Linked DNA regions of Alligator mississippiensis. The protein of the gene in region 1 interacts with the protein of each later gene in a pairwise test. Links are inferred from orthologs where the notes say so. Each region holds a gene or a part of one and is shown on either strand. Other genes may lie near its edges.

Region 1 (11,552 bases):
ACCATTCTCAGTCGTGGCAGATGACAGAAAAAGAAGCAGTGGTCTCAGATTGCACCAAGGGAAGTTTGAGGTTAGGTATTAGGAAAAACTCTCTCACAAGGAGGGTACCCAGAAAGGTTATGGAATCTCCATCCTTGGAAGTTTTTAAGATTGAGCTGGACAAAGGCTTGGCTGGGATTATATAGTTGGGGATGGTCTTGTGGTGAGCAGGGGTTGGACTAGATGACCTACTGAGGTTCCTTCCAACCCTAACTTGATTCCATGTAAGTTTTATGAGGAACAATGAATGGTCTGGACAACCTTCAGTGTGTAGAGAGAGCCTTTTCACTGAATTCGTTATTGCCTTCCAATAAAAAATGCATTTTTCCTGGAATCTCAAGTTTTGCAACTAAGAAGATTGTCCCAATTGCTGGGGGGTGACCTAAGACAACAAAATGGCACCAGCCACTTCTAGAGTCCTCTGCAAAGGAGATCTTGTCACTAGTTGAAATCTTATAAGGAACATAAACTGTTTCCGGCAACTTTAAGGCAATTGTCAGCAACCCTATAAATATGCTCTAATAACGAACTCATGTTTCACCAGGAATGCTCAGCTTGAAATTTGGAATTGTAAAGTCAGCAAAGAGTGATTCTGCTGCGTGATGCTGCCAATTAGCCCATCCATGCAGCTAGTTGATACTGCTTCCAGTTTAGCAGACAGTGCATGTTTGAGGATACTGCTAGCAGGGACAGTAAGTTTACCATATACATCCTTGTTCCTTAGGAGACCAAGATATAAATGTACTAGCCCATATGATCCTGAGACTTAGTTGGACTGTGCAACTAACCTATTTTTTGAAGAGGAATTATTAGGTAATGACCACTTTGCCTATTACCATAGCTTAACTTTTCCCTCCTCATGAACCAAGTGGCTAATTCCTTGGGTAGTTAGTATGACACTGCTTAATGTGGATCTGTGCATGAGGATAACTTGTTTACAAGCACAGATCAAATGGACACTGCTAGTAAAATGCCTGCTCGTAGGCACGTGGAGCGCACACACCATGTATTCACACATCTCAAAGAACTGCAACATGTCTATGAAAGAAAAAAATATTTATTTGTTTTTTATATATATAAGGCAATTCCAAAAAACAGCCTCTCAACACTCCTCTAACATTCGGAAGATGTAGGCAGCCCTATCAAGTCTGGAAATGGGACCAGTGGGAGCTCCGTGACGGATCAATCCTAAGTAGCTAGTTGAAATCTTACACAAAGTGAATCTGAACTTGACTGGAGAAGCTTGCCTCAGACTTGGTATTTTTTTCCCCACTTCTTAAGAAACAGTTTTTAGATCCCTTTGTTGAAGTTCTTTTTCTCTGGTGAGGAAAAAAAATCACCATCCCAGGTTCAGTTCTGTGTTGTCTAATGGCCAGATCTTCCTTTGCCTGGGGTTCAGTTTCTCTGTAAAGGGGAGACTCTGGGACACTTGGGTTTCTGTTTTTCCCCTACGTGAATGGGAGACTTTCATCCATAAGGACTTCAGTTTCCTCTTCAATGAAAGCAAACAGCATAATGGGCTGCCTTTGGGGTTTCGTCTCTTTCTACGAAAGGGAAGTTTCCTGCCACTTGGATGAGCTCCTTACCTCGGGAAAGGAGAACCTGAAGCCCATCAGCCTCACCCTTGGTGGAGGGGCAGCCCCTGAGCTCGCCTCACGCGGTGCGAGTGAGCGGCTCCTCGCCACGGGGCAGCCTCACACTGTCTGAATGCGGCGCTTCTCGCCCACCGGGATCTCTCCCTCCCTGCAGTGGGGCAAGACGACCTGCGAGTCGAGCACCTCGTCCTCGCGGGGCCTGACGAGCGGCGGCCCCCTCCTCCCGCGCCTGCCCGCCTGGGAGTGTACCGAAGTCACGAGGCGGGCCGAAGCGCTGCAGCTGAAGCCGGTGGCGGCGGCCGCTAGGGCGCAGGCCAGGATGCACATGAAGAAGCTGGGCCCGAAGGTGGAGGTGAGGCGAAGGGGCTGCAGTTCCTTCTCCGTCTGCAGCCTGCTGCGCGTCACCTCGAAGAGGCAGGAGCACAGCGCCGCCGCGCCCAGGGCGAGCAGCGCGGCCAGGCCGTGCAGGAACGGGGCGGCAGCGCAGGCTTGCTGCAGGCCCAGGAAGTCCAGCAGCAGGGCGCTGCAGCCGCTGAGGATGGCGACGAGGCAGCAGATCGCTATGGACAGGATGAGGGGCACCCCGGCCGGGCCCAGGAGAGGCGAGTCGGGAGGGGGAGCTATGGGGTTAAGGGCCCACACTGCTCCCAGCACGAACTGCACCTCGTCGCCGCTGACCAGGACCCAGCTGGGGTAGGCCCCGGCCAGGAACATCAGCCCGACGGCCAAGGCTTGGGCCACGACCGCTGCCAGGCTGCCCGTCCGCCTGCTGCCCGCCAGGCCCCGGAGGAGGCGGCCCGGATCCTCGGGGCCCTCCACCTCCATGGACCCGGGGCAGGGAGGGCGGAGGAGAGTCGGCTCCGGGCAGCTGTGCCCCGCCCCCGCCGCGCCGAGGCCGTGCTCCGATGGCCCGGGCGGAGGCAATGCTAAAAAGGGGGAAGGGGGAACAACCTGCTGCCGCTGCGCGGGGCGGGACGGGGACGGGCTGCAGGCAAATCCGCGACTTCCCCGGGGCCGGGGCCAGGCGCAAGGTTTGCTTGGTAAATAAATCCCCTAAAAGGAGATGCGTCTGCCTGAAGGACCCTGCGGGCTTTTGTCCCTTCTTCATTTTGTTAGTAAACTAGGGGAGGGGGCCGGTTTTAACCTTTGCTCTGCCTGTAGAAACATCCTCCAAGGTACAGCCTGACCTTGCCTGATGGTTACAAGGACACAGGTTTAAATTCTTGTAAGCAGCACATGCAGCTAAAAAAACCTAGTGTAGATAAAATTAAAAAGAAAGCTTTGCAGTTACCATTTATTTGTGGAATTACCAGCTTAATCGTTTTTTATTCAACATCACTTTTAAAAAAAAGATGTTGTTTGGCAGCCTTTTACATGAAAAAAATTCCTGTTACTGAATGGGTTACAGTATTGTTCACATCCAGGTCTCTGGTTTCAGTTGTCATAATCCAAATCAGGTTAGTAGTAATCAAATTTACTTAAAATCCACTTCAGATCAACAGTGACCAGAAATCATTATGATCTGATAGAGGATCAGTGCTCTGTAGGAATGAGTTTGATTTTAGTTCAGTTCGTTAGCTGGGCATTTGTATATTACAAGGTCTGCTGCCATAATTAGCCTGAATTGGCAATCTGAACAGACTAACAACTGAGCAGGTATGGAGGAGGTTCACCAACTCTCATCCACAAAGGTAAATCCACTCAGAGTAGGAGCTGTGAGACAAATAATATTTAATCTATTATGTAAAAATAATTTTATTATGAGAGCCTCTGTAAGCATTAAATTCACAGGAAGAAAAATATCTTTTGCTACCTACCTTTGAGGAAAATTCATATTTTTGTATCGGCAAAACTGCAGGGTTAATTGAGTGAAACACAAGAGAGAAAGATGTTATGCTTATAGAAGACCTTTTAAAATATTAGTTTTGTATTATCCAAGGCAGATGTTTAAGTATTTTGGAATGATGAGACTCTTAATATTAATTTGCCATTGCACTGTAAGTAATATGATTTGCTGACTTTTTTAAGGCTGCCATAATATTAGTGTCTAAGAATGTGTTTGAATTTTTATTCCCGTGACTTGACAAATTATAAATAAACCAACATAATCGTGTCTATGTGGAAAATGTACACACCACTGGGTATTTGACCTATAATGTTTTTAGGATTATCAGTGTAACAGATGGTAGATCACAATGCCAGCCACGAAATCCCTCAATGCGTCCACTTTCTAATACTTGCAAACTCTGTTTTTCCCACCTGGTATCCCAGAGCGGAGATGTTCTGGATCTTCCATTTCAATTCCACAGCCTTCAAGTCCCACATTGCAGTCAGAGCCTTCCTGGTCCTAGACTGAATTCTCTTCAAATCCTTGTTCATAGATTCATAGACATTAGGGCTGGAAGGGACTTCGTAAGATCATTAAGTCCAACCCCCTGCCCAAAGGGTAGGAAGTCAGCTAGGGTCAAGGGATCCCAGCAAGATAAGCATCCAAAAGGATACATTTTTGTTCCTTAAAAGTGCCCAGAGTAGGTCCTTGCACCACCTCTGTGGGGAGTCTGTTCCAGGCCTTGGAAGCTCAGACAGTAAAGAAGCTTTTCCTTATGTCCAGCCTGAAACAGTCTTGCAGGAGTTTGTGACCATTGGACCTTGTCATCATCTGGGGTGCTCTGGTGAACAGATGTTCCCCCAGATCCTGATGAACACCCCAATATACTTATAGGCTGGCACCAAGTCCACCCCTTTTTTAAAGTCCAAATGTATAATATCAACCTGTTCCCTTTTGTCCAGATGATACGTCACCTGGTCATAGAAGGAAATGAGATTGGTCAGGCAAGACCTACCTGCAACATGTAGCCTTCTGTTAGCCTGTCAAGAATGATTTCTTTGATCATTTTTTGATAATTTCTCTGATGATTTGTTGACCCTCCCTCATTTAATGAAAAAGATTTTCAACTGTCTGGAATTTGTGAAAATGCTGAATACTTCCAGTTGATTTTCAGTCCCTAAAGATTAGTAACTGGTATAAGTCTGATCTTACTTCCATTTGCAGATGATAAAAGCAGGTGGCAAAACATCTTTACTTTTGTACTGGTCTTCACTACTGAGATTAATTTTTACCCTTAACGCAAATGAAAATCCATAGAGAGCATTTTCCTGTAAGGCAGTTACCTGGGGAAACGAAATCCAAATAGACCAGCTCTGTATTTGTTCCATTTTGTTTTGCCTTGGGTTTCTTTATTGACAGTGAACAGCAGATCAGGGTTTAGTAACTGACTGTAGTGGCATCAGCAAATTAGTTCACCAGTTTCCTCTCCCTGGGCATAAGTAAGTTACTTCATCATTGTAAAACTATACTAGATAGCGTGCTTGTACGTGAAAGTCCTTGTTTAAATTTACAGGTTTAATCCTACTTGCTTGATGATATCACTGATGGTTGCCTTGATACTTTTCAGGTGGAGCCCTGATTTTATGTGATAAATACAAATAGCTGCAGTGTATGGAGCTGTGGGCCATTTCCTATGTTACTTTAAAGGCTCTTAAGTGTATTTATCAGGAGTCATAAATTTCTCATAAATTGTAATTTTAATTTTACTCCAGCAAGTCATCAGTTTGTACAGGACTAGTATTAGAAAACTGCAAAATCACTAGCAGTTGGAAATGCACGTAACTTTATGAATATTCAATAGATTCCTTGAATTTAGGATCTACGGTGCATCTCTGCCAGTGTTAGTAGCGATAGAAACACAAGAATAAGTTGGCGAGAGATTTTACTACCCGGTCCTCTTACTCTGGCCAGTTTCCTGCTGTAACCGCAGGGGTACGACTACTGCAAGAGATGAGAGGATGCGTGCTTTCTCCTTTTTCATGTGCACTGTAACTGCGTGACTTAACTGAGAGAGGAGTCTGAGGGAAAAGCCCTGAAGCCCTTGCTTCAGTTGTGCTCCGCTCCCAGCGGACCCTGCAGACCACCTGAAGGCAGCCCCTCGGCGCTCAGGGAGGGGAGCCTGCACTCGGCCTGTCCGCATTCGCATCAGCCGAGCCAAGGTTTCGCCTTTTATGTCGGAGGGAGAGAATGCGCTTCCGCGCGCGGTGACGAGGCCGGCGGGACCGTTGGTGGCCACGAGCCGAAGTTCGAAAGTGGCAGTTGGAGCCTGCCGTTTACTTTCAAACTGCGCGTTCCGCGGCGGTTGGCTGCAGCGGCGCATGCGCGCGGGGGTCTGCGGCCTCTGCCTGTCCGCCCCCGGCCGCAGAGGGCTGCTGTAGGCGGCGGGAGACGGACGAGTCCGCGCGGGCTGGTGAGTGCCCGGCTCCGGGGGCGGCGCGGCGCGGCGCGGCGAGGCGAAGGGATGCATGCGGGGAAGAGGCTCCAGCATTAAGTGGGGCGTGGGCCCCGCATCCACGGACTGTCACTGGCGCCGCGCAGGCGGCTTCCCCCGTGCCCCGCGCTGTCCGGGGATAATGGCTGCCCGTGGCGGGGGCACGGCCAAGAGCTGGCATCTTCTCGGGGCGTCCGAGTCTCCCGAGTCGGAGACGGTGCGGAGGGCAACGGGGTGGCCACAGACTGGATCCGGCCGACTGGTGGGCGCCCGCCTGGGAGCTGGATCCAGTCATTTGCCCGGCTGGATCCAGCTGGTGAGCCACCTTGTGCCCGCCCCTCCACCAGCTTAATTAGGTTTCACTGATTATGAGCATATGTTTATGTAAGGGGCGCATCACCCCTTGCATGAGGAAGGAAGTGGGGGAAAAAACAAACCTTGCCAGTGTGACCCGGAGGGGGCAGAAATCCCTTTTTGACCCCAAATCTGGCTGTTAGATTAGAGTCTGAATAAGTAAGCAAGTCCTTCCAGCCAAGCACCTGAGTGCTTTTGAAAGGGAACACCAGTGCACCAGTGGCGAAACTGGCTGTTGGCTTCTAGGTGTGGTGAAAAGGAAAAGACCAACCCCCCCCCCCCCAAAAGCAGAAGCCAGAAAGTATTGCATGTGGGAGGGGTGTGCTCAATTCTTCCTCATCCATGAAGGTGACAGCAGAAGCCCTGAAACTGTTGCCTTGTCAGCACAGATCCTGGTTTTCCCTGGTAAAAAGTCACAAATTATCTGTTTAAAAAACCCAAAATCCGTGATAAAAATTAAAGTCCCCCCCCACCCTGCTAGTGCTCCTCACTCCCCCACACAGCCTCCCCAGTCCTGCTCGTGCCCACTACTCCACCCACAACAGCCCCCCAGTCTCCCACAAAGGCACAGACACACAGACAAATACACACACACACCCTAGCAGGTTAGGTGTGGGGGAGGATGGGGGGGAAAGGAAAGGGTTGGGGGTGCAGATTGAGAATGGAGGGAGGAGAGGTGCATCTCTGCATGTTCCCGGAGGGCGGGATGAGGGTAGGCCACACATGCACCGCCCAGTCAGGGTGGGGGGGAAGCTCGCATGCAGCAGCCCCCCACACTACCGCCTCTGGTGGGGAAGGGGCTGGGGGCTGAGGGAGCGAGGATGTGTTGGGAGAAGACATGGAGTGCCTGCTGGCTGGTGGGCACTCCTGGTGCAGGTTTCCCCCGCACCTTCCTCTCCCTCAGCCCTGGGCAGATGAACATGTGGGGGGAGATGGGAATAGAGCGTGCCCCAGGGTGCAACAACGGAGGGGTGAGGGGCACTGCCAGCCCCACGCGACACACCGTAGTGCCCCCCTCCCCCCCACCTTGGCTCACTGTGCCCACTCCCAGGAGCAGGGCTGGGGGGGGGGAGGGGGGAGTGCAGTGGTCCCTCTCTGTGGCCCATATGTGCACCGCCTGGCTCGGGGGGGCCACACACGGACTACCACTGCACCGCTACACCTTGCACCTGTTGCCCGCAGCTGGAAAGCCACATGGGATATGGTGGCAGCTGCTGCGTGCGAGCCCTCCGTCCTCTCCAGGGCAGCCATGTGCAGCTCACAGAGGGTCACCGCTGGCCTGGTCCCCCTGACCCTGCTCCGGGCAACCAGTATGGTGGCAGCGGTGCAATGGTGCTGGCACAGGGTGGCTGCCACCATGCTGCTGCTAGTGGCTGGCATTGCACTGCCCCTGGCCTCTGCCCCCACACTGCATTTTTGGTTGCACACTGTGGCGGCCGCCAGCACTGCTGCACTGCCGCTGCTGTGCCCCACATCACTTGCCCAGAGCAAGGGTGAGGGCAGTAGTGCCCTTCTGCGGGCCCCACATGCCTGCTTGGCCGGGTGGGGCTCACACACGGTGGCTACCAGCACATCCCTGTGCGGCTTTCTGGCTGCGGGCAAGTGGTGCAAGGTGCAGCGGTGGCGGGTGCTCCGTGTGAGCTCCCCCAGACTGTGGCTCACAGAAGGACGCTGCTGCCCTCACTCCCCTGGCCCTGCTCCTGCGAGCAGGCACAAAATGAGCTGAGGTGGGGGGGGCGGCAGTGCCCCTCACACCTCTGCCGCTGTGCCCTGGGACACGCTCTGTTCCCCAACTCAATCTCCCTTCCTGCCCAGGCTGAGGGAGTGGAAGGTGTTGGGGAAAGCCCCACCAGGAGCGCCCGTTAGGCAGCAGGCATTGCATTTCTTTCCCTGACACATCCTCGCTCCCTCAGCCCCCAGCCAGCTTCCCCCCTCTCAAGCCCCACAACCCCCAAGCCCCACTCACCTCCAGGAATGAAGAAGAGTGATCCTGATGTAGCCTCTGGTAAGTGAGTGTGTTGGGTCCTGCCCTTTCCCCCTCCCCCTCCGGGCAGGGTTAGGGGTTTCCTGCCCTCTTGCAAACAGCTCTTGCAGGCTGGAACTCAGCTAGCCTGTAGAACTCTTCACAAAAGGGGGAAATCCATGGGTTTCCCCGCTGAAAGGGAAAATCCACGTGTTCTGATTAAATCAGGAATTCCGTGGTTTTTTTCCATTTTTATGTGGGAAATGGAAAACCCCGATGTTTGCTTATCAAACACCTTTCTCCTGGAGATGGATTCCTTTCACCCCATCATGGGGATACCAAGTACTTTAATCCACATGTGATATTAGGGATATAAATACTGATTAAAAAATACCTGCTTAACCTGTTATTACAATGCTTAAATGATTATTTGCTATGGCAACCCCCTTCCTGGCCCATGTGAAGCTGTTCTGGCCCAGTCTGCAGGGCACCCCTGCCCAGCCTGGCACCAGTGGGGTGCTTTCAGCCCCCCAGCTCAGTGACCTCCCAAGGGCTGCACCTGAGTGAGCTGGGCTGGCAGGTGGGTCCTCTGGGCTTGGGTGCAGAGGAGGCAGGTGAGTGGAGTGTTTCATGGGGCTAAACCACAGGCCTGGGAGAACCACCCTGTTCCATTTTACTTCCACCTTTCCCCTGCTGGTCCCTGGCTGTGGGGTGTGTGCAACAGTTGCAGCAACAGAAGGCACTGCATCCAGACAAGGATGGGTGCTATGGCACTGGGCTTTCAGTCTGTGGCTCTGCAAAGTCAGATCAGTGGGGTGCCGAGCCCCGGGCTGGCACCTGCCCCATCCCACCACAGAGGAGGGGCTACACCTGCCTGCGGGAAGCTGGGGGCCAAAGCGTTGACAAGCCCTGCCAGACAGGCCTGTTTGTTACACTTTAAAAGAGGCTTGTCCAGCGTACGGCCTGTGGGCCGCCATGCAGCCCGCCAAGGCATTTTCTGTGGCATGCGGTGCTGTGACAGGAAGCAAAAGTGAACATGGTTTACTTTAGTTCCCACCCCTTGTCCCTCCCCCAGCCCCTCAGTAGCTTCCTAATGGCTGCTGAAGGGCTGGGGAAGGGACAAGGTTCCCCCATGCACCACTTCAGCATGGCCTGGCCAGGTCCCTCACAGGGCCGGACCCCTCCCCAGCCAGGGGCGGTGCTGGCTGCAGCTGCTGAGTGGCCCTGCATGCCCCAAGGAGCCGGTGCCGCGGGCTTGGGGCAGGCGCAGGACAGAGCCTTCATGGGAGAACTTTGCCGCTGGGTGGCGGAGGAGCGGCTCCGCTTGCAGGTCTGGGACATGCCAGTCGCTGGTGGGGAGGGTGCGTGTCTGGGAGCACCCATTTTCCTGTCCCCGCCGCCCCGACAGGAGCCCGTGCCCTGCGCTGCTGGAGCAGCCCCGCGCAGGAGGCCAAGCAGCGGCCGCTGGCACTGCTGGCCTGTGCCTGTCTCCTCACCCGCCTGCTTCAAGCCAGCCCTCCTGCTCTGCCCTGCCCTGCCCCACAGCAAGGCGGTGCCTGCTCCCCCGGCCAGTCTCCCCCGGGCGCTGCAGCTCTCTGGGCCCAGCCACCCACACTGCGGCTCTCCGAGCCCGGCTGGGTCTGCACCGGCCAGCAGAAGCGGCAGCTGAGCCATGTGCCACTTGGGACAGGACAAGCCTACACCGGTCAGCCCTGAGCGACACATGGCTCCGCTGCCACTTCTGCTGGCTGGTGCAGACCTGGCCGGCCTCCTGTCCCCAGCAGCACATGGGAAGCTGGCTTCAGCTGCATGCTGCTTTTCCTGGCCGGTGCTGACCCAGTTCTTCCCAGGCAGGTCCTGCAGCACCATGTCAACCTGGGTATGGCACCGGCAGGCCAAGCGGGCCCCAGGTCAACCCCGGCCTGGCCCCTGGCTTCTCCAGCACCAGGGCAACCCGATTGTAGCCAAGTGGCTCCTGCAGCACCATGTCAACCCAGGCATGGCACCAGGCTGGCTGGGCACTAGGTCTGTAAAAATATTGTCTAGTGTTTGGATTGTGTTTGCTTCTGTTTCTCTTTGTTGGGGACTGGGGGTTCAACTTGTTACTGCTGGCTAAAGATGTGTTACTAACAAGTTATTAATTCAATAAAAGTAAATCTTCTTGAAGATTATTCTTAAAAAAGCCCATATTTTGTTGCTTTGATTAGTTTCCACTCTGGCTGATATCTTTTCCACATTTGATCTGTCGACTTGCATTATGCTTCTTTCATTCATTGAGAAGTGAGTAGAAGCAAAAGTGTTTATTTTAGTCAAGTGTTTGGTATTATTTAATTCTTGCTTTTATATTGTTTTATTTTGCAACTTCATTGGTGTCAAAGGTCACGTGACATCACTTCCTGATGTGATACCACTTCCTGTGAGGTCTTTGAATATGGCTCGCTGGCCCACTGGGTAATAAAAAGTTCGTGATCTGGCCCCACATTCAAAAAGGTTGGATACCCCTGCTTTAAAATCATGTGGGCCCAACCCACCAAGTTTCTTATTACCCTCTTTCAGGCAGGGAAGCTACAGGAAAAAGGGACAACAGATCCCTTGGGACAAATAATACAAAAAACAGGAATGAGAGTTGCTGGTTCAAAATAAGAGTTCCAAGGGGGGACACTGGACAGTGTCTACTGGCCCTCAAACAAGTCCAGGCAGCACAGCCTAGGAAGTGATGGGTGGCTGTAGCAAGCAAGGGGCTTAACAGCAGCTGCAGTGGGCTGGAAATGCTGGCAGGGAGCAGGCAACAAGCCTCCTGCCCCACAAGTGGGTGTGGGGAGAGCCTGCCAAGTGACTCTGGGCTGGGAGTCCAACCACGCCACAGGGGAAAAGGTTTCAGCCCTACTTCCCTCACAAGAACGAACAGCAGCAACTTTTATATGTAACTTTATTTACGTAAAATCTTCGGTATTAAAACATTTTGCTTTCCAGAAGTGAAAAACCCCTTGTTAAAACTTCAAGAGCGATACACCCCAACAACTTTTTATTTACACAAAATCTTCACTGTTAAAATGTTTTGCCTTCCAAAAATGCAACAACAAAAAAAGAAATCTAATCGAATTAGAAAAAAAATGACTTCTCAAGTTTCTGTTGAGGTTAAACAAGCAACAACAAAAACAAAAATCTGCATTGCAACTCTGTTGATGATATTTATTGAGAAAAATTAACATGTTGACATGCTGTGCTGTCAATCTTTAGTGCAACCTATTTATAATAAACCCAGTACTAGCAAATACTCAT
Region 2 (11,364 bases), on another chromosome or scaffold:
CCACACCAACTAGGCAGCGTGGGGACTGCAAGCAACCCAAGGGGATCTGAAGCTTGAGAGTGGGGGAACCAGCTATCTGGAAACGGATCCATTCTGGGTGAAGAGCACTCTAGAGACTTGGGGCAGGGGATCTGCACTGGATCACTTGCTGGGGAGGAAGCTGCCAGTTCAGGGGGTTTCAGACAGGATGAAATTTATTAGCAAAGCCTCAGCTTCCCTCCTGCCTCACAGCCAGGCTACGCACAAGCCAGGGCAGAGCCTATGGGCCAGGTGCATGCCAGCCCTTCCCCTAAGTTTGATAGCACTGCCATGCATGGCTGTCTAAGTGTAGGGCTGCCCATGTTTAACACCAAAGCCGATCCACTCTGCAATTTCAAGCTATGTTCAAGGTCTCCCTGGCCAGGACCCCATTGATTTTGGAGGATGAGGGGGGTTAGAAACCTAAAAGAAAGAAATGGAGGTCACAGAGAGCTTGGCATCTGCTTGGCACAGTTGTGGCTTCAAACAGCTCTACAATTATCTGCAGATCAAACAGGTGTCAGCTGGCACTGATGAATGCCCTCTGATGCTACCCCACCCCATCTTGGCTTTGCCAGGTCCCAGCAGGTGGAATGTGTTGACCTTGCAGCAAGAAGAGAAAGATTAAGGTGTTGGAGGACTTTATTGGGGCTATCTTGGTCCCCTAATGGGCATGGGGGGAGTGAGGGTAGGGGCACAAGGAAACTGTGCCCCAAAAGGATAGAGCTTGGGAAAGGAAAGGAGGGATACAACAGAAGCCATAAAATGTGACCTCCTAGATTGCAGAGAGCAAGTGTTACCTTACAACTGTTACCTACAAGGCCCTTCTCCTATAAGGCTGCTTACAGACATGAAAAAAAGCCCAGTGCTTTACTTTCAGCTTGGTGTGCCCCTACGTCAAGCGCAGGACAGGCCCAGAAGAGGTATCAAGTCAGTTTGACCCAGTTCACCCAACCTATTTATAGATCATGTGCTTCAGCAGCGCTTTTTGGCATTTTTATGTAATAGCTGATTGAACCAGCTATTAGATAAAAGCACCAAAAAGCCCCACTGAAGCATGCAATCTATACAAACACTGGACAAGCCAGGTCAAACTGATGCAATGCCTCTTCTGAAACTGCTGTTTTACACATTTTTTTTCATGTCTGCCAGAGGCCTAAATTACTGGGGCAAAGTGTAGTCATTACAGCAGGGGCTAGGGCTCTGCTCTGTTCCCAGGTCTAGGAGGAGAGTGGAGCAGGGGTATCAAACTTACCCCAGGCTCCAGGCCATATCCAGACTGCAAGGGTTCCTCGTAGGCTGGACCCCTGGGCCTATGCTTAGGCAACATCATGGGCTTGGGGCCAGGCAGCTGCATGGAGCCACATTTGGGCAGCGCAAAGCCAGAAGCATGAGTCAGTGAGGAGCATGAGTCATGTGGCAGCTCAGGCAGGGCAGCAGCACAGAGCTGGGGACATGCAGCTGCACAGAGCCGTGTTCGGGCAGCAGTACAGAACTAAGGGGCTGCCACCGATAGTCATGTCCACTGGGATTGAATTCTGCTCTACCGCACTTCCAGTAGCCTACTGGACTGCCAGGGTGAGCCAGATGGAATGCTTCATACGTTTCACACCCCTGGTCTAGAGCAGTGGTTTTCAACCTTTTTCCATTTCCAGACCCCTAAACATTTTGAATGGAGGTGTGAACTCCTTGGAAATTTTGAGTGGAGGTGTGGACCCCTTTGGACTGTAAATGGGGGTATCTGCATACTTTTGATTGATCAGTCATCTTTCATGGACCCCCTAAGATGTAGTCTGCAGTCCTCCAGGTGTCCATGGACCACAGTTTGAAAACCACTGATCTAGAGGTAAGAGAAGAGGAGGCTGGGAGTCAGGATTCCTGGGTTCTGCCTCCAGCTCTGGGAAGAAAGTGGTGAGTAGTGGACTGGGAAAACCCATGACTTTTGGGATCTGTCCCCAGTCCCAAGACTGGAGCAGTGTTCAGTGAGTTAGACTGGCGGTATGGGAGATATGCAGGACTAGGGAACTGAAGGAGGGACTCTTGGGTTTTATCCTAGCTCTGTTTCCTCTTCAAGCCACTTGCCCTGTATCTATAAAACAAGGACAATAACATCCCCTTTTACTATGAGTTTTTTCAGGGATTTAATTAATTGTTGTTCTGAGAGCACTTTGAGATCCTTAGATGAAAGGGACAAAACCAAACAGTAGTTCTATTAGCAGTTACACAGTCTCAGGCCTCTCAGCATCCCTATTTATTAAAGCTATTGCTCCTGATGATTAATAGCACAACTTCACCCCTCCCTACTTTTTCCTTACTCATTATATTATGACTACACCTAAATGTTCCAGCCAAAATCCCAAGGTGTCAGGCCCTGCACAGACTCTGGAGAAGAGGCAGAGAACCTGAAGCAGAGTGAATGGGTCTGGGGCAAAGCTGGAACCTAAATGCAGGTCTCCAAAGATCCAGCTCAGTTTTAGCCACAAGATCCATGCCTGCCCTCCAAGATTGTCCTTTCTGAGACAGGATTCTGCCAGGCTTGAGTGTGGTTCATGCCCTGGTAATACTGAGCAATGACAGTGTCTCCCAAGCAGCTCTGGGACTACAGAGGGAGGAGAAGGCAGTCACAGTGGAACAGATCAGCACAAAGACCAGACAGACCCTGTGTTACGTCTCAGCTCTGTGTTCTTGGGCAACCCTGGCACAGGATGCAGTCTGTCTGACTCACAAGGACTCACCCCCTCCCTCCCCTCCTCTACCTAAACGAAACTGATTAAGATGCAGTGAGAGACGCACCTAAAACTCTCCAGATAAGGGTGATAAGAGTGAACAACTGCCCTAGGTCTCATTTACATCCGAGATGGAACCAGATGACCATTCATTTACATGAGAGATGGAAAACAGAAAGCCTGAAGCAGAGACTGCAGTGAATTCTGGGACCAGAGAAGCAGGAGAGCACTGCATGATGGGGAATCTGTGCTTCCAATGTTAATCAACCCATGTTCACACACACCCAGCTCAGCATTTATCAGACCCGTTCTAATCTGGATTTGCTAAGGACTTTTCTCCCCCCAGACACACACACACACAGCTCTAAGTTTAATAGGCATCTCGGGCCGTACATTCCCCGGTCCCACTATGGGAGGCCTATTTAAACCTGATTGACTAAAACTCAGTTGCCGGGTTAGGGAATGCTGAGGCAAGAGACCGAGTCCGAGGGGGTATGGGCAACATTTGAACAATGGTTAAGGGTTCATCACAGCATCCAGCCTGCTGGAGCCCTAATCCCAGGTGTTGTCGTATCTTTCCCGAGACGACTGGTGGAAGTCCTCTCCACAAAAGGTTATGAGCACCCCAATAATTGCTTTAGATCTGGAAAAGTCATGCTAAGCTGAGGCTTGTGCACAACAAGTAAAAATCCCAAATCCTGATGCTGCAAGCTATCTATTGTTCCTGAAGAAACCATAAGATATCCCATCAGTATATCTGCCATCCAGAGGAATCTCAAGCTGGCTCCCAAGTATTTGGGTTACTCCCTAATCTTAAGTGTTTCCTGATTATCAATCAGTTTCCTGAGATGGTCCAAACCAGTTAACCCTTTGTCAATAGAAAAGACAATGATTTACACTACTGAGGGTGCTTCGAAGCAGCTGAATTGAGGGTATAAAAATCTGTAAGTGTGTGTGCTTAAAAAGAGAAAAAAAAGAGAGAAAGAAAGAAGCAGCAGCAGGAGGAAAGGAGAAGAAGAGGAAAAGAAAAGAAGAAGAAAACTCCTGTGCTGACACCATCCCCTGTCATTCTTGGGACGCTGGAAGAACAGATCGTCTCTCTCTTCAAGGATTGTGCTACGGACTGTGCCTGTCAGCTTTGCAGCCTGAGTACCGTGGACTAGGTGAGATCCCAGCATTTTCTCTCTTCCGTCTAGGCATAAACTTCTGAACCTGAACTGTATTAGTTAAGCTTGAGCTACGTTTCCCCAAATACTTAGTGAAACCAGAGTAGTATTGTCATTGTTTGTGTTTGTTTTTCTTTAGCATGTCTATTACTACTAGTACTATTATATATTTCATATGCTTAGCAATAAATAACTTTTATAGGCAAACTGGTAGTAATTGGGTATATTTTTCCTTCTCTGCTTCTTTTTCCTCCCGTGCTTTGCAGCAACGCTTCTTTTACCTATGCTAAAGATCCCTGTGAAGCCTAAATTATTGTGGGGTCTGCTCATCCAGAGGCCAAAGATTGGGACGTGCTGAGTTTGAAACACATAAGGGGATCAGCTTGTACAGGCTGATTGACCCAGTTTGACTCAGACGTGCCCTTATGAACTGAATGCTGGCCCATGAGGTTGTCAGCTGGACACCCAGCTGGATTCAGAGGGATTCTGTTTACCTGTGTGCTTGTGTTTGACTGCATTTTATTGTTGCTCTTATGAACTGATTCTTGGCATACGAGGGTGTCAGCCTGTCCATGCTGATCAGCCCGGCCAGGTCAGGCGTGTCACATTAATTTGTGTGTGTTTGTGTGTGTGACTGATTTGGTGACTGGAGGAACCCAGTCCCATTGAGATTGAGTCCTGCAAGATAGCTCCACTGGGGGTGAGGGCTTGCAGAAGGGAGAGAGACAGCTCCGTATAGTAACACAAGCAGCACATTGACAGAATCACCAAGACCCTAGAAACTATTCTTTAATAAATGAGCACACCCCAAAGTAATGGGCAAATTTGGTAACACCTGGAGAAGCCCTTGGCATTGGGGAGGGGGCACCATAGGCATCCGAATGAGGAGCTCTGGGGGCATCCCCTCATATTGGGGAACAGAATTTGGGGGCTTCAAGTGCGGGATGATGAGGCCAGTCTCTGCAGAAGCACTGGAGACGGAGGATATGACGCTGTGGAGGGCATCTCATGTGTGGGTGGGAGACTTTTGGCTCAGATCAAGTGTCTTGGTGGGGGCATCTGAACACTAAGACCTCCGGGCTTTGTAGGATGCATACCAATGGATTTGGAAATATCTGAAGTCCCAGGGTGAGAGCCTGGGATGGAGGATGCTCGGGGGTTGTAGCACCATACATGGCATCTAGAATGATCAAGTGCTGCCTGCTCAATCAATATGTTTTTTGGAACAATTGAATTCTACTCAATCGAGTTCTACTCACAGGTTACCCGGAGAGGTGGTGGAAGCTCCATCCTTGGTGGTTTTCAAACCCGGCTAGATAAAGCTTTGGCTGAGATGATCTAGTTGGAGCTGGTCCTGCTTTGAGCAGTTGGTTGGACTAGAACAGTGGTTCTTTCGTATTGGGACCCATTTGCAAAGATTGATGGCTTGTCCAGACCCACATCCCCCAGCCCTGCTATTGCCCGACCCACAGTGCCCTGCCCCCCCTGCCCTGCTGCAGCCTTGGTGCCCGGGCACTCAGCCACCATCCCCCAGTGCCAGCAGGTACCTCTCCCCAACACCCATCCCCTCCACACCCCGACAGTCCCCAAGCCCTGGCCCTCCAACCCCCACGCCCCATGCACTTACCTTCATCCAGCTGCTAGGGCTGCTTGTATGACTGTGCCTGGCTGCATGCTAGCCATGCCTCAAGCAGCCCCTTGCAGCCTACAAGGGTAAACCCATGCTTTTGCATGATTTTCTGGCACTTACTCATGACCCTTTGATTGAAATATTCTTGCAACCCACTTTTGGGTCAGGACCCACGGGTTGAGAACCACGATGACCCCCTGAGGTCCCCTCCTACCCTTTCTATGACACTATGATATGATTTGGAACTGATTCGATCTGGAACACGAAACACATTCATAAAAAAATAAGATGTGTGGGTGGGAGACCTAGGAGGGGCTTAAGAGACCCTTGGGACAGCCCTTCCCGCGGAGCTGGAGGTGGGGTAATCCCTGGGGGAGGGAAGGCTGCCCTGCGCGGGTGGGGTGTGGGGTCTGCAGGGTCCAGGGGCAAAAATCCTGGGACTCTGGGGGAAAGAGGGAGCAGCCCGGGGCAGCCTTGAGCGGGGGGACCCTAGAAGAGGGAGCAGGGGCCGGTGGCTGGAGGGAGCTCCGGGCGGGGCGGGATGGGAGACCCCGGGGCAGGGCTGCGGAGCTGGCGAGACCCCAGCGAGAGACAGGAGAATGGAGCATCCGCAGAGCCCCGCCCACTGCGGGAGCTCCTCCCACCTGGGGGCGGGCCCTAGGAGAAGTCGCGTCACAGGGGAGCCCCGGGGAAAGCCCCTCCCCAGCAGGGCGGCGCTGGCTGGAGGCGCGAGTCGGGAGTCCCCGCCCCGGTGCCCGCGCCATGGCGCCCGCGCTGCTGCTCGTGGTCCCGGCCCTGGGCAGCTTCCTCTTCGCCTTCGGCACCGGCGTGGAGCTGGTTCGCTTCGTGTCGCTGCGCGCCGTGCTGCCCGGCGGGGCGCGGCCGGGTAGGGCGGGGAGCGGGGCTGGGGGCGGGGCGGGGGGGCGAGCGAGCCCCGGGGCGGCCGCGCTCACCCCGCTGCCGCCCCGTGCAGAGCCGACGGCCGGGCGCGAGTGGGCGGCGGCGCTGCGGGACCCGCGCGTGCTGCGGGCGCTGGCGGCCGATCTGGGGCTCGTGGCGCTCTTCGTGCTGCAGCACTGGCTCATGGCCTCGGCGCCGGCCAAGCGCTGGGCCGCGCGCTGCCTCGGCGTGCTGCACCGCTCCTGCTACGTGTGCTGCACCGCGCTGGCGCTCCAGGTACCGGGCGGGGCGGGGCGGGGCGCGGCGGGGCCGGGCCGGGCCGGGCCGGGCCGGGCTGAGCAGAGCGGGCGCCCGCAGGTGCTGATGCGGTGCTGGCAGCCGGTGCGGGACGGGCCGCTGCTGTGGGACGCCTCCCGCTCGGAGCCCTGGGCCACCTGGGTGCTGCTGGCCTGCTTCATCCTGCACTTCGTGGCCTGGCTCATCATCTTCAGCATCATCCTCATCTTCGACTACGCCGAGCTCATGGGGGTCAAGCAGGTACTGGGTGGAGGGAGGAGGATCCAGGGGCTCAGGGACTGGGATTAGCTTGGGGGGGTGGAAAGGGGGAGGAAGGAGTCTTGGGGTCTTTCCCCTCTTGGCTCCAACCTGCTGCAGGTCCCCTGCCCCAGGTCTGTTACCACTGCCTGGGCTCGCGGGGGGCAGTCTTGGGGGCTTTCCTCTCTCGGCTCCAACCTGCTTTGCCCTCATGCCGTGCCGTGCCCTGCCGCAGGTCTATTACCACTGCCTGGGCATGGGTGACCCCCTGGCTTTGAAGTCGGTGCGTGCCGTGCGGCTCTACTCCCACCTGCGCCACCCCGTGTACCTGGAGTTTCTCCTCATCCTGTGGGCCGTGCCCTGCCTCTCCCTGGACCGCCTCCTGCTGGCCACCCTCTTCACCGCCTACATGACCTGCGGGCACAGCCTGGACCAACAGGACTACCTCTACCTCCGTGCCCAGCTTGATAAGAAGTTCCAGGTCTTCTCCCGTGAGGAAGCTGCCTATGGGGACCTGCTGGCCCGCAACGGCCCTGTCTTGAGCAAGGAGAGCTGAGTGGGAGCAGGACCCTGCTGGATGGCTTTTACCTAGGGGGAGGTCTGGCGCAGTGGTGCCCTTCCCCACCCCCCACCTTGCCAAGCACTGATGCCCTTAGCTCTGCACTTAGTACTGTAGTGTTAGGATCTCTCCTGAGTCCCTAGAAGTCACAGCTGCCTGCAAAAGCAACCTTGGAGTCTAGGCTCCCTTCCCCATGCTGTGACCCACTGGAACACTCTTCCTTCCCAGAGCTGCAGTAGAACCCATGAGTCCAGGCTCCCAGCCCACTTGCCCAGCTCCACTTTCTAGATACCGTTGGCCTTACAGAGCTCGGTAGAGGTTGGTCTCTCTCCTCCCTCCCCCATTGTAACACTCTTCTTTCATAGGGTCCTTAAGTTCAATTCCTGGCTCTGAGAGGGGAGTAAAGTCTGGGTTACAGTGGGGAGGTCCAGAGTCAGGATTCCTGCCTTCTATTTTGAGCCCTGGGTTTAATAGTTTCAGAGGCATTTGAAATCAGGACTCCTGGGCTCTTCCCTACTGCCTTCCCCATAGTGATGGACGTGTCGCCAATCTCTGCTGCAAAAGTCTTGAAAAATGGTTTCTAAAAATGAAAGTAGGGTACTGTTTCTTCTGTATTTAGGTACAAGGCAAAAAAATGGCTCGAGTGATATGAAGATGAGCTGGAAAGGAGGGATGATTAATAGGAAGGGAAGTCCATCCCTTTCTGGGGCCTTGGCTCTGACCTCCCACACTTCAGTGGCCAGTGGATGCATTGAAGGTGTGGGGAGAGCAGGGGAGTCAAGACATGGGGATCAGGACATAGGGCCTCTTCCCTGCAGTGAGTGCCAGGCTCCTATTAAAAGTTAGCTAGGAACTGTGCCACAAAATCCAAAGCCTGCTGATGTTCAGGTCTCCTAGCTTAATGCAAGTGTTCTAGCTTAATGCTTAATTCATTATGGGGATTGGGACATTTTGGGTCCACCAGAATCCCTGGGCCCCGTCTTGGAGAGGAATGGTGTCCGATGGGTTAGAGCAGAGGGGCTGAGCATCAGGACCCCTGAGTTCCATCACCAGCACTCAGGAAGGGGGTCCTGTGGGTAGAGCAGAGGCTGAGCTGGGATTCAGGATACCTGGGTCCTATTTCTGACTCAGGAAAGCAACCCCAACCTTAATCGATGCCTTAATGAAGAACCTCTATTTTTAACGCTGCCTTTTTGTGCATGTGGGGGTTTTTTTGGTTCTTTTGTTTTGTTTTGTTTTGAACCTGAAGCTGATAAAGTATTTTTGTATCTTGGGTTTTTGAGTGATCTGGGAAAAGGCTAGTTTAAAACAAACAAACAAATAAATAACTAAAGAGAATTATTGCATTTACAAACATGTTTCTGTGAGACGGGTAGCACAGCATGGGGCAGGACTCCTGGGTTCTCTCCGCAGCTCAGGGAGGGTGGTGGTGCCTGGCTTAGGGCAACACTTGGGTATGCAGCCAGCAAGCCGTATCGCAGTGCTCTGTCTCACTCTCTGCAATATACCTGGAATGAAAGTGTCTGGGGTATCCATCTCTTGATTGCATGCTTTTCATCTGGGCTGTTAGACGTGGTAGGGAGCTTGGGGCAGAAAGTTCGGGTCCTCCTATTCCCAAAGCATCATCTTGGCACTAAGGAAGGAGGGAAATTTAGCTCCTGCCTGTCAGCACATCTTTACAAGCACATGAGCTGTTGCTGTTCTTCCCACTAGAGGGCATTGCTGCCACAGAGATGCCAGGCACTGGGTACTGCACCCTGTTCTGGTCAGCCAAAGGCATTACACACACGGGGTCATGGGGCAGCTTGCCCATGCTACCCTAATGTTCCCTCTCCATACCCACCTGTATCCCTGGGACCCCTTTTCCCTACTCCCAGATCAGTCTCCCTCCTTCCCCCATCAGTGTTTTTGTGTGACTTCCCCCCTGCCCCGTCCTCTACTTCCCCACCTGCCACTCTGTCCCCATTGCAACCTTTCTTTGGCAAGGCTGAGTCAGTCCAGGATGTGACCCCTGATGGGCAGAGCTGTGCCACCAGCAGCTCTGCCGGAGATGCTGACTCACCAGCTCACGGTGCGCAGCAGAAAACATGTCTTTGCTGGTGGAGCTGTGTCTGCACCAAGGCCTGGTTGGTGCCACCCTGTTCTACAGCCGTGAAAAAGTCCTGTTGGCATACACTTTTTCACTAAGGAACTGTGCCAACACAGCAGCAGGGGCTACCCTAGGGAAGACAAGTGTTCGCCGCATAGCAGTCTAGGAACATTGTACCAGGGACCCGCACTGACTGTGGGTGTAGTATCACCCTCTTTCCTTTCTCTTTTGGAGCTAATGCTCCAGGGGATGGTAAGAAGAGAGCTGAAACTGGGGGTGTTAGGATGGGAGGTGTCTGTACTGTGGGACAGAGCTGAGTGAAGCACTTCCCAAGGTGTTGAGGCTACCCACATGAAGAGTTCAGAAATGATTGTACCGTGGAACAAGCTGGTACCAGCCTTCACCTGGGATATCCATCAGCACTTATTCTCTTGGGGGGTGGGGGGGAGTGTTGTTACATGAACTCTCCCAGAGCAACACCCCATGTCTCCCCACTGGTGCCAGTGTGAAGGTGATGCTGTGTCTGTTCCCTCAGCTTGGCCGCTGGAGTCTGTGTGTATAGCAATGCTCCCACAAAGGCAGGGCTGGAGATGTGGCAGGGGCCACCCCTTGGTGGTCAGAGCTAAGCAGAGCAGGCCTCAGCTGACATTGCTGGGAACAGGGGGGCTGAGGCCTGCCCTAGGCTTTGGCTTCCCCTCTCAGTGGGTCAGGCCGTGCATAGCTCACATCCTGGATGGAGAGCCAGGGGCGGGAGTGGGGGCTGTAAGGAGCCTGTGTGACACGCGTGTCTGGCTGGGGAACCACGTGAACAAGGAGCAAAGCAAAGTTAGGTATTTGACCTGTCAAATACAGCTTGTTTAATTGACCTGTCAAATATCCATCAACTATTGTAAAAAAGAAAACAAAACAAAAAACACCCCCCAGAAATGTCAACAGGTCCAAATACGATGCAGAAAAACCACAAATTTTCCATTATAAAGTGTGTCAGAAAACAGTAAAAAAAAATCTTGTTTCCATCAAGAAACATACAAATATATATTCCTAAAATCACTATAATCTTTGGGCAAAAAAATATGTGGTCAGTTGACCAGCTTGCCAACCCTACAGGAAAGTGTGCGCGCGCGTGTAGGGGGATGCTGGGGTGTGTGTATGTGTGTGTGCATGTGCATAGGAGGAGGGTGGGGGGTGTAGGACGCGAGGGTGTGTGTGTGTAAGGGGATGCTGGAGGGGTGTGTGAGATGCTGGGGGTGCACAAGTAGGGGGGCTGTGTGTGTGTGTGTGTGTGTGTGCGCGCGCGCGTAGGGGGACGAGCGGGGTGTGGAGGGGAGGCCGGGGGGTGTGGAGGACACCGCCTCCCCCCGCAGATCCCTGCCTGCCCGGGTGCGGGCGCTGGGGCCCGGCTCTGTCGAGCGCAGTCAATCCGTGCCGGCCTCTGCCCGCCGCGGCCGCTGCCCGTGGGCGCTGTGCAGGAATCCCGCGGCGCCCCCCGCCCGCCCGCCCCGCCCCGCATTGTCTCCCCGCGCCTTCACACACAAAGACCCGGCGGAGGCGGCGGCGGCGGCGGCAGCGCCCGCCCCGGCGGATCGGGGCCCCCCGGATCGGGGCCCGCCCAGCCGCGCGGCGCCCGCCCCCGGACGCCTGGGTCCCCGGGGCTGCCCCCACCCCCACGCCGGTTCCGCGAAACTCCCGCGACCGGGAACCCCCTCCCCGCCTCCCTCCTTCCCTGCCTGCCTGCCCGGCGC

The links.
Region 2: the proteins of TRIM59 (region 1) and NRM interact in binary tests that used the Homo sapiens proteins (3 or more experiments, as listed by UniProt). The two-hybrid records come from large-scale screens. The link is inferred for Alligator mississippiensis from reciprocal best matches to the Homo sapiens genes TRIM59 and NRM.

The regions. Positions count from the first base shown.
Region 1 is NC_081830.1:68,582,308-68,593,859, reverse strand, and holds the start of TRIM59 (tripartite motif-containing protein 59), read left to right. Parts: upstream 1-5,826; 5' UTR 5,827-5,932; intron 5,933-11,552. UniProt on the Homo sapiens protein: E3 ubiquitin ligase involved in different processes such as development and immune response. Serves as a negative regulator for innate immune signaling pathways by suppressing RLR-induced activation of IRF3/7 and NF-kappa-B via interaction with adapter ECSIT.
Region 2 is NC_081834.1:53,463,499-53,474,862, forward strand, and holds NRM (nurim), read left to right. Parts: upstream 1-6,260; 5' UTR 6,261-6,302; coding exon 6,303-6,426; intron 6,427-6,513; coding exon 6,514-6,716; intron 6,717-6,797; coding exon 6,798-6,977; intron 6,978-7,209; coding exon 7,210-7,530; 3' UTR 7,531-8,871; downstream 8,872-11,364.